Xenopus tropicalis: one gene and its partners. The main gene of each other region encodes a partner of the protein of the gene in region 2 in a complex. Links are inferred from orthologs where the notes say so. Each region holds a gene or a part of one and is shown on either strand. Other genes may lie near its edges.

Region 1 (4,144 bases), on a different chromosome or scaffold from region 2:
TGCTGATCACTTTCTTTTCCCTTAGCCACACCCACATTCATTAGTAGAGTAAACGTTATCTTTTTGCCAGTACAGCACTCTGTAGTGCCAGTTTTCTCTTTACACCATGTTTTTGGATCAGTATGAAGAATCCTAGCTGCTCACTCAAAGGAAATCTGGTCAGCTGATGGCATTAATAACGATTGTTGGGGACAGTAATGGATGGTATTGAACTGGGTATACAGTAATCCAATTGTGTGGGGTGCACCTGGCACAAAGACCTTCTGAGCAGATGATTTTTTAAAAAACACTTGGTTAACAGTACTATAACCAGACATGTCAGCTAACCACATGTATATTTGCCATCTTTTTGCACAGATAATACCAGCAGGGGTAGGGGCAGGTCAGTATAGAGACTGGCTGTGACATAAAAGGGTGGATGGAGTTGTGACATCAAGGGTCAAATCTGATGTTGGTAGTATGACTGGTGTCTGTTGGAGCTGAGATGGGAGTGGTGTGCTTGGTCAGATAGATTAGTTATTACAAATATATATCCAAGTACATTGATGGTAAATTTGTAATACTGGCAATGCCCTAGGCTGGTAAAATACTAACCAGGTGGCAGCCCTAAACCTGTCAGTCAGGGTTTCCTCTTCACTTTCAATAGCAACATGAAAAATGGTCTTAAAAATACCCAGAGTGGTTAATTATTTGCAATATCTACATTTTTACAGGAGAGTTTAGGCCATGCCATGACCATGTTCATGCCCCTACTCCTCTGGCTCTGCCATCTTTACCTGAATCTGCGGGGATTTGGGGGTTTAGGCCTTTTAAATTACAAGATTGACTGAGCTATAACTATGGATGTCTAGGGCCAGAATAGCATTATTCCCAACCCAAATCTGCATTATCACCCTAAGGATTGTCTTGACAACTAAATCCTCAAATGCTGTTATGAGGTGACAATAAAGCACTTTATACTGAAGCCACTGTCCCTTTAATAAAAGCAGATCCAAAAACATATAACAGAAACCACTTATAAAGGAGATAGGAGACGCAAAAATACATTAATAAAATGACCAGTTGCAAAGTGGCTTATATTTCTTCCATCTTCTAGCTACTTCAATTTAATTTAAAAGTTAACTTTCCATTTAAAATATCAACCAAAAATGAAGCAGAAGTTGTCCCATGACAATTTGACGTTCCCGAAATTAGCCATCATTCCTCTCTATTAAAGTTGCCGTTTTGGCCTTTACAAAGATGGCGGGTTTTCGTTTCCTTATACGCAGCCAGCACGCTTTCCTCCTGTTTCGACCTTCCCAACATGGCGCCGATTCGATTTTTACACGCATCAGGGTTACGGATGACGTAAGCCGTAAAGGACTGGTACACCCTCCGCCCCCTTGCGGCGATTCCCTTTTGTGCGAGGGGTCGAAATTGTTGCTTCCGGGGACCGGACATCGGAGGCGATAGCCGAGAGAGGGAAAGCGAGTTACTCGGTGACTAGCGAGGCACTGTGGTAATAGGGACAGCGAATGAGTGAGAGGTGGGTACTGCTACTGTTACTACGAGCGTATATAGGAGACATCTCAGGGCACATAGAGACATGCTATAGTGTTTTTGGCAGGGTTTAGGTGGGAGTCTGAAGATTTGGTTAGGAACTGTATGACATACATGTGTATTGGGATTATATATATATATATATATATATATATATATATGCCAGCACTGTGGGTACTTACACATTACATGCTAATACTGTGCCATACAGGTGGTTACTTACAGGTGGTACAGAGGGCACTGTAGTTAAAAGTGGGCACTCCTTACTCCATCACTTTCCACTTCCTCAGACCCTGGTGTCAACAATGAAAGTCAAACCCACAGACTGAGAATTGCAGACTCAGATACACACTGGCCAAATTTACTACACAACTGTAGACTTGGTTTAACACTGTATTAGGTCTTTGGTACTTGGGTGTTTTGAGTGCCACTGCCCCTGTGTCAGGCAGGGTGCTTTTCATTGATTAACATTACAACTAGCTTCAGACAAGCCCCCTGTGTGTAGTTTTAGTTTTAAATGGGATCAATATCTTTCTCCTTAAAGGAGTATTCCACCCAAACACAACTTAAGCATTTGGAAAAGTATACATGAATCTGGCTGACTACTTTGTGACTCAAATAAAATGTAACAGTAGTCACCTGTCTTCAGTCTGCATATTCCCAATCCCACAATTCCCTGTTGCACATGTGATGTCAATAAGGAAAGAAACATCACAGTGCAATGCATTGTGGGTTATGTGAATCTTGCATGCTGTCTGTAAGCTGTGGAGAGGTTGTTACAATTTGTAACATCAGTGTTTTAGTCCCTCCTTCCCTGCCAGGATTTTAAATGATACAGAAAGAGAAGAACTGTTTTGCAGCTAGATTTCAGCATATCAAAATGGTATTTATTCATACCTTTTGAAGGAACAGATTACAGTGATAGGTATATTAGAGGTTTCTGTGTTGTGTGGGGCTCTTTAGCAAATTTTTGTTTTGTTTTTGTAGTTCCCCTTTAATGTCATCAGTGTCTTACAGAACTGCTGCTTGGTATAGAACTGAGCAAAGAAGCATCAGGAGATTATTTCTTGTTCATTAAAGTAGAACAGCAGTGAAGCTTTTGTTACATACAATCAGTAATGAAGATGAAAAATTAAGATTATCTCAAAAAGTTATAAAGCTATGGTTCCACACAAAATCCTTTTGGCTGATTTTGAAAATATTCATTTTCACTTTTCAGCGTGACTATATGCATGCTGCTTTGTACTTTCATTTTTAATCAGTTTTCCAAATTTCTAATTGATATCTTTAACTTGAATTGAAAAATAGTTTGAATTTTTTAAATCCAACTCCCATTGACTTCAAGATGAACTTGTCAGCTTTTAGACACAGATTCTTTAATTTGAATCCCTGAGTTTCAGAAAATGAATGTATTTAGCTTTTTGCTGAGTAGCTCTCCAGTTTGCAATTTCAGCAGCTATCTGGTTGCTAGGGTCTTGGTTACCTTAGCAACCAGGCAGTGGTGTGAATGACTGGAATATGAATAGAAGAGGGACTAAATAGAAAGAATAAGGAATAAAAAGTTACAATAAAATGAAATTGTAGCCTCAAAGAGCAAATGTTTTTTGGCTAGTGGGGTCAGGGGACCCCCATGTAAAGATAGCAAATAATTAAAAAACTATTAAAAACAAATAATTAAGACCAATTGCAAAGTTGCCAATAGTACATTTTATAACATACTAAAAGTTATCTTAAAGGTGAACCACCTCTTTAAATCACAGTAAAAACTTGTATACAGATTTATATAAATCTGACCCTAAATGTTTTCTATGCCAGCAAAGAAAAGGCTGGCGTTGTTAAAACCTTGTTTTCATAGAAGACATTGGAATCCTCTGATTCCACTGTGAGAAGTAAAAAGAACCCTACAAATTCAGGATACCTTTTGGACAATTTCACCCATAATATTCTCCATAATTAACCTTTTTGCCCCTAAATTGCGAAAAATCTGGCCCATGTTTGCACATAAAACACTGGGATCCTCTGATGCATCTGTGATTTAAAAAAAACAAAAAACTCCACATTATTAAAAAAAATCAATTTCACCTATTTTCTTCCACTAAATTGGCCCATATTTGTGCCTAAATTGTGAAAAATCTGGCCTTCGTTTTCGTGTCGACTTTCAAAAGCCACTGTGAAAAAAAGAACCTAAACACACTAGATGCATTTTAGTAGTTTCATTCACTGTCTTTTCCTAAATTAGCTTTTTGTCCCTAAATTGTGAAAAATATTGTCGTCGTTTTGACAGAGCACTGGAATCCTCTAAAGAGCCTAAAGAACTTTGGCCAATTTTACACATTTTCTTCTGTTTAAGTAGCCCTTCGTTTGTGCATATATTGTGAAAAATCTGTCCCTAGTTCTTGCATTAAAAACACTTGGACCCGCATTCAGTCACTGCATTCTCTTAAATTACTTTTTTTCTTGTTCCAAAATTGTGAAAAAATATGACAGTTTGCACAAAAATTAGACCAAAGTCTGATGCCAAAGTAAAAGAGCCTAAAACATCAATTACATTTGCAAATCAAAATAACTGCTTATTTATATGTTACTTTTGGTGACAGCTGGTGTG
Region 2 (3,500 bases):
CCTACAGAGAGAAGAGAAGCAGCTTGAGGCTTGCCTGGATGCCCTTATATCTCAAGTTTCTGACATCAAAAACTCTTTGGTTGGCTTTATCCACAAACTTGAAAATGAGTATGACCGACTGACATGGTGTGTTAAAGCAGATATTTTTAAAGTATTGAACACATTTGGCAGTGAAGACTATTTTCTATGTTAAAGGAGAGGTTTGCCTCAAAATTAGAACATTACAGATGAGGCACATGAGTTATTTCAAATACTCCCACTGGACAGCAAGCACTTGGCAAAGGCTACTAACAGTGCTTTATCTGGCATAACAACATATGCCAGATATGCCCAATATTATTTAGCCACAGATGGTTTGGAATCCCTCTGTCAGAAATAATCACAGATTCTGCATTGATTGGGATGGTTGGATCACACTGGAAAAGCAGTTGCAAATGTCTGCAAGTTAAAAAGTAAATTTGTGGGTGAATGTACCCAATAATAAAACACATTTTAATGTTAAACGTTTGGTTTTTCAGGTAGGGCAGTTCACTGTTTGATGAACACAAAAAATTATTGGCCAACATAAACTGAATACCCAGTGAAATTTAAGAAGGAAAGGCTTAGAGCCCAGTTGTAACCCTCAACACCCCCCCCCCCCCCCACTCCTGTGACCAGCGGCTAACCTGAAATCTCATCTGCTGTGTCTCTTATAAAACTACTTTGCAGTCAGTGATCTTGATCTTGCCATGCTGCATATTGCCAGACAACAGCATAAATCAACAAAACCATCTTGGAAACACCGAGTCTGTTGTGGTACCAATCAGAAACTGACATTTTCCCACCAACAAGGAAACGCCAATAAAATCTGAGTCCCCCAAGTGTTTGCAGAGAGCAGTGGAATCCACCTGTCAGGGGCCAGTTTTGGCCTGAAAATGCTTCTGTGTTTATTACTTCCACTATTCTGCATTTTTTTCTAAAGGGAATAGAATCTTTTGGGCTTCTTTCTGCTGAATCAATATCAGAGTGTTTGTCCCATCCTTGATTCAGTACAAACAGTGATAATTATTGGCATAAATGTATCATAGGGCCTTGATTTTTAAGCTTACAATCTTTTTTTTGCTTTTTAATTCTTGTCATATAAGCAACAGAAAATGTGTCTCTTTAAAGTCTAATTTTTTTTGCCTTCTATTTTATTTTTGTTTCTACAACCAAAACAGGAACTGCACATTTCCTTCGATTCAGCGGGTTTGCTTATGCAGCCATGGAAAGCGAATTTTAAATCTCCTTATACTCCTAATGCAGAATATATAATAATTGTAATGTTAATCTAAAATCCGTCAGTAAGGCAGGATTCGTATGGACTGAATTATTCCTGTTTTTGTGTGTCTCAGCCACATGTGCCAGTTTCTGTCTGATTAGTATATCTTTTTTAGGCCATCTGTACTTGATAGTTTTGCACTTCTGTCTGGGCAATTGAACACACTGAACAAAGTGCTTAAAAACGAGAAGACACCTCTTCTAAGAAACCAGGTCATCATTCCACTTCTTTTGTCTCCGGACAGAGATGAGGAGATCATGGTAAGTTTATGAAATAACTGCTTTTGATGACAAATCTTGTACAAACTTTGGCTGTCATACCTTTCCTTGCCTACAGCGTCTGACAGAAGGTAGGGTTCCAGTATTTAGCCATGAAGTGGTACCAGATCACCTGAGAACAAAACCAGACCCTGATGTGGAAGAGCTAGAAAAACAGCTAAGTGCTGAAGCAGCCCGTATCACCTCTGAGGCTGCACAGGTATAGTTCCCCTCTAAGCATTTTTATTGGTTTTTGCCACATTGTCCATATTGCTGATTTGGTTTTATTTTCTCTAGAAACAAGTTCAGAGTATGAACAAAATGTGTTCCAATCTGTTAGACAAAATTAGCAAAGAAGAGAGGGAGTCTGAACTTGGAAGTGAGTATTTGGTTTGGGTTGATAGCTGCTATGACATGTTGAGTTTGCTATAGTTCTCTCTGGACTCTGTGCAGTACCAGAGAATTGTTTATATAAATAGTGCTCTGCATTAAATCAGCATTCATAAGAAAATGTCAATTATCTACCAGTATATAAAGTACTCTATACTAGTTCTTTTTTTTATTAAAGCCAGTGTCCACACTTTGGGCAAATATCAGACATACTGCAGTAGTGCGGATGTGCCCTAGCACACTTATTATGTGCCAGCACCGGGAACATATCCTATTCTGTGGGAATTTACCTAAAGAAATATTATTATTTGCAAGTTTTTTTAGGCCACACCTTCAGTGGGGGAAACAGTTAAGATTGATAGGTGTCTTTTAGTTTCTAGGGGTCAGGATCCTTGCCACTGCTCCTCCTTGCTAGCCTTCACCAACAAACTGTCCTAATCAAATGGCACGGGTACATTTAATTTATATACTCACGCTGTTCTATGCTCACCCCCTTCGGTAAAAGCAGGTTGGGTGCAGGTATATAGGGAATTCCAGGAGGCCGGGTTGGGTTTGTGTTAGGGTTAGTACCAATCAACAATTAGTCAAACAAGGCATCTCTAATGCCATGTTTCTCTGCAATATGTAAAATATGAAATGATTGTATATGTGTGTTAAATATTTCATATATGTGTTTCTTACAAAGCTTAAGGGAGAAAATGGAGTTATGTAAACATGGACAAAGTTTGCCCTGGTCCATTAGCACACAGCAAACAATTTGCAGTTAGCTATTCACTGATCTTCTGCACTTATAATATTGGCAGACACTTTACTGGGCTGATATATGAATAGTAGAGGGGCTGAATGGAGAGATAAGTAATAATAATTAACAATAAAACTGTATCCTCACCGAGCAATAGTTTTTGACTGCTGGGGTCAGTGACCCTCATTTGAAGGTGAAAAGAAGCAGTAGAAGGCGGCAAAAGGTGACCCATCCCTTTAACACCTTTATTGACTACAAACTATCTAATGGATCCCATACTTGTAGTGTAGAAATAATGTGTATCACAGAATTATATTTTTCTGTAACTTCATGTTTTGGTCACATTGTACATGTGTAATTTCTTAATCTAGGTTTAAGACAGAACAAGCAAACATTTAATCCTACCGACACAAATGCACTTGTAGCTGCTGTGGCATTTGGAAAAGGACTTTCAAATCGTCGCCCACCAGGACAAGGTGGTCCTATGGCTCCAGGACAGACAGGAGCCAGCAGCATGCTTCCAAATGCTACAGGTATGCAGGTTCCAATGTCATTGCCACCAAACCAACAGCAACAACACATGGCTGGAGTATCAATGTCACAGGGCAGCCAGCCAGGTAGGTGCTATTTACATGGTTTACCTATTTTAGTAATGGATATTCTCTTTTTGTATGTATTCATTTTACTTTGACCACATTCCTTTATGTAAATTATCTTTTAATGTCATTAAACAGGTAAGATGCCCAGCAGTATTAAAACCAACATTAAATCTGCCTCAATGCACCCATATCAGCGATGAAAGCCTGTTCTG
Region 3 (4,073 bases), on a different chromosome or scaffold from region 2:
ACTGTACTGTCTAAGGGAAACACCATGGCACCCCCTACCCATATGTATAAATACAAATATACAGAGAGGGAATGTTCTGGGCACACAATAAGCTGTACCCCCATACTGTACTGTCTAAGGGAAACACTATGGCACCCCCTACCCATATGTATAAATACAAATATACAGAGAGGGAATGTTCTGGGCACACAATAAGCTGTACCCCCATACTGTACTGTCTAAGGGAAACACTATGGCACCCCCTACCCATATGTATAAATACAAATATACAGAGAAGGAATGTTCTGGGCACACAATAAGCTGTACCCCCATACTGTACTGTCTAAGGGAAACACTATGGCACCCCCTACCCATATGTATAAATACAAATATACAGAGAAGGAATGTTCTGGGCACACAATAAGCTGTACCCCCATACTGTACTGTCTAAGGGAAACACTATGGCACCTCCTACCCATATGTATAAATACAAATATACAGAGAAGGAATGTTCTGGGCACACAATAAGCTGTACCCCCATACTGTACTGTCTAAGGGAAACACTATGGCACCTCCTACCCATATGTATAAATACAAATATACAGAGAAGGAATGTTCTGGGCACACAATAACAAAAAAGAAAGTCTAAGCAGGCACTGCCCACACAGGCTTTTCAATACAGATAATAAGGGAAAGTCATATTCAATTTGGGTCCCAATTTCTTAGGGCCCTTATGTGCTAACCAGGGGCCCCAGGGCCACTGTATCTCTATGGAATTATCTTTATTTACTCGCTCTCTGAGACCCCCCAGTAACAGGATCAGGGTTAGAGAGCAATCCCAGCAATCCCACAGGCACCAATAACACTGTCTCTTTAAATTCTTCTTGATTCTATTTATCCTGAAACAACATAGACAGACTGGCGACTCTGTAGCAGCAACTCCACAGCAAAAGTGTAGCCCATGGAGGATTATGGCCCCCCCCCCCCCTTCCATCATAAATGGAATATAAAACCTGAATACAATTGTCCAATAGGCAGCATCGCCCTCTAGCGACCAAAAGAGGTATCACACTGAACGCTATTTAGCAAGTTGGCAGGGAACGTCCAGTGTAGGTAGAAGTACACATGCGCAGTCTCCTTTCCGCCGTTACAACCCCGCCTCTACTGAGGCTGGCCAATAGAAATAGGCGTTTCTCGTTCCTCCTATTGAGAAAACGCCGCAGTGACCCTTAGCCAATAGAAACCTTTATTGTACCAGTTAGCCAATAGGAAGCGGCGCTGAAGGTATGGGCGGCTGGTTCGGCTTTGCCAGCTGGAAAGATGGCGGACCGGCTGACGCAGCTCCAGGACGCGCTGAATTCGGTGAGCGCTTTATCTGTGTGTGGGGTTTGTGGGGTTTGTGGGGAAGGGAAATACATCCTCTCGCTGCCCGCAGTTGGGTCCCATCTCGGCTTTATAGTCACATTGTAACTAATGGTTTATTCCATTCATTGCTCGCAGCCCCCACACTGTGTCCAATGGATCTTATTACCCAGAACCCCATGTCTATGAGGGTTCCCTCAGCTGATGCGGATTATATCGCCGCCCCATCCCATATATATCCCCGTATATCCCATATATATCCCTGTATATCCCATATATATCCCCGTATATCCCATATATCCCCCTGTATATCCCATATATATCCCCGTATATCCCTATATATATCCCCCTGTATATCCCATATATATCCCTGTATATCCCATATATATCCCCGTACATCCTATATATCCCCCTGTATATCCCATATATATCCCCGTACATCCTATATATCCCCCTGTATATCCCATATATATCCCCGTATATCCCATATATCCCCCTGTATATCCCATATATATCCCCGTACATCCTATATATCCCCGTATATCCCATATATAGCCCCGTATATCCCACATCCCCCTGTATATCCCATATATATCCCCGTATATCCCACATCCCCCTGTATATCCTATATATCCCCCTGTATATCCCTATATATATCCCCGTATATCCCTATATATATCCCCGTATATCCCATATATCCCCGTATATCCCATATATCCCCGTATATCCCATATATCCCCGTATATCCCATATATCCCCGTATATCCCATATATATCCCCGTATATCCCTATATATATCCCCGTATATCCCATATATATCCCCGTATATCCCATATATCCCCGTATATCCCATATATCCCCGTATATCCCATATATATCCCCGTATATCCCATATATATCCCCGTATATCCCATATATCCCCGTATATCCCATATATCCCCGTATATCCCATATATATCCCCGTATATCCCATATATATCCCCGTATATCCCATATATATATCCCCGTATATCCCATATATATATCCCCGTATATCCCATATATATCCCCGTATATCCCATATATATCCCCGTATATCCCATATATATCCCCGTATATCCCATATATCCCCGTATATCCCATATATATCCCCGTATATCCCATATATCCCCGTATATCCCATATATCCCCGTATATCCCATATATATCCCCGTATATCCCTATATATATCCCCGTATATCCCATATATATCCCCGTATATCCCATATATATCCCCGTATATCCCTATATATAGCCCCGTATATCCCTATATATAGCCCCGTATATCCCTATATATAGCCCCGTATATCCCTATATATAGCCCCATATATCCCATATATAGCCCCGTAAATCCCTATATATATATCCCGGTACAGATAAGTACTTGCTATTGGCAGCAGTGCCCAGCTCCACCCCCAGGTTCTGACTCCTGACACAATGTAGCAGGTCAGTTTAATACCAGCCTATTAACTCCCTCAGTGCCAGGGGGGCATTGGATGAATGGAGTTGTAACCCCTCCCCTTTGTCTCTCCAGCTGGCCGATCAGTTCTGCAATGCCATCGGGGTCCTCCAGCAGTGCGCTCCCCCCGCCTCCTTCAGCAACATCCAGACGGGCATCAACAAGGACCAACCGCCCAACCCCACTGAAGGTGAGAGACTGCGAGTGGCCCCCAAACTGCCCCGTTACCCACCCAAATGCCATTGTAACCACGCCCACTGCGCACTGACACACCCCCAGCACTGACTACCAGACCAGCACACAAAGGGTGTGAAACTGTCTGTCACTGCTCTGTGTGTATCAGCCAATGCGTTTATAGACACGGGGTAGGAGTACCGGGAAATACACTCCCCCGTGCACAGGAAGCAGAGACAGTCACACGGGTACCAGGAAATACACTCCCCCGTGCAAAGGAAGCAGAGACAGTCACACAGGTACCGGGAAATACACTCCCCCGTGCAAAGGAAGCAGAGACAGTCACATGGGTACCGGGAAATACACTCCCCCGTGCACAGGAAGCAGAGACAGTCACATGGGTACCGGGAAACACATTCCCCCGTGCACAGGAAGCAGAGACAGTCACACGGGTACCAGGAAATACACTCCCCCGTGCACAGGAAGCAGAGACAGTCACATGGGTACCAGGAAATACACTCCCCCGTGCACAGGAAGCAGAGACAGTCACACGGGTACCAGGAAATACACTCCCCCGTGCACAGGAAGCAGAGACAGTCACATGGGTACCGGGAAACACATTCCCCCGTGCACAGGAAGCAGAGACAGTCACATGGGTACCAGGAAATACACTCCCCCGTGCACAGGAAGCAGAGACAGTCACATGGGTACCGGGAAACACATTCCCCCGTGCACAGGAAGCAGAGACAGTCACACGGGTACCAGGAAATACACTCCCCCGTGCACAGGAAGCAGAGACAGTCACATGGGTACCAGGAAATACACTCCCCCGTGCACAGGAAGCAGAGACAGTCACATGGGTACCAGGAAATACACTCCCCCGTGCACAGGAAGCAGAGACAGTCACATGGGTACCGGGAAATACACTCCCCCGTGCACAGGAAGCAGAGACAGTCACATGGGTACCAGGAAATACACTCCCCCCTATATTTATATCAAAACATTATATCGATTGTTCTGCTTTAGTGCCTTCATACTCGTTTCCCAGTCTGTTGCTATGGGCCTCTGTAGGGGAAGTTCA

Evidence for each region. The genes of interacting proteins can lie anywhere in the genome.
Region 1: med8 (region 2) and med24 share a complex: the UniProt entries of both Homo sapiens proteins name them as parts of the mediator complex. The link is inferred for Xenopus tropicalis from reciprocal best matches to the Homo sapiens genes MED8 and MED24.
Region 3: med8 (region 2) and med21 share a complex: the UniProt entries of both Homo sapiens proteins name them as parts of the mediator complex. The link is inferred for Xenopus tropicalis from reciprocal best matches to the Homo sapiens genes MED8 and MED21.

The regions. Positions count from the first base shown.
Region 1 is NC_030678.2:112,543,924-112,548,067, reverse strand, and holds the start of med24 (mediator of RNA polymerase II transcription subunit 24), read left to right. Parts: upstream 1-1,344; 5' UTR 1,345-1,525; intron 1,526-4,144. UniProt on the Homo sapiens protein: Component of the Mediator complex, a coactivator involved in the regulated transcription of nearly all RNA polymerase II-dependent genes.
Region 2 is NC_030680.2:88,531,562-88,535,061, reverse strand, and holds part of med8 (mediator of RNA polymerase II transcription subunit 8), read left to right. Parts: intron 1-7; coding exon 8-126; intron 127-1,415; coding exon 1,416-1,560; intron 1,561-1,636; coding exon 1,637-1,777; intron 1,778-1,854; coding exon 1,855-1,936; intron 1,937-3,060; coding exon 3,061-3,306; intron 3,307-3,423; coding exon 3,424-3,488; 3' UTR 3,489-3,500. UniProt on the Homo sapiens protein: Component of the Mediator complex, a coactivator involved in the regulated transcription of nearly all RNA polymerase II-dependent genes.
Region 3 is NC_030679.2:3,066,106-3,070,178, forward strand, and holds the start of med21 (mediator of RNA polymerase II transcription subunit 21), read left to right. Parts: upstream 1-1,273; 5' UTR 1,274-1,299; coding exon 1,300-1,341; intron 1,342-2,893; coding exon 2,894-3,008; intron 3,009-4,073. UniProt on the Homo sapiens protein: Component of the Mediator complex, a coactivator involved in the regulated transcription of nearly all RNA polymerase II-dependent genes.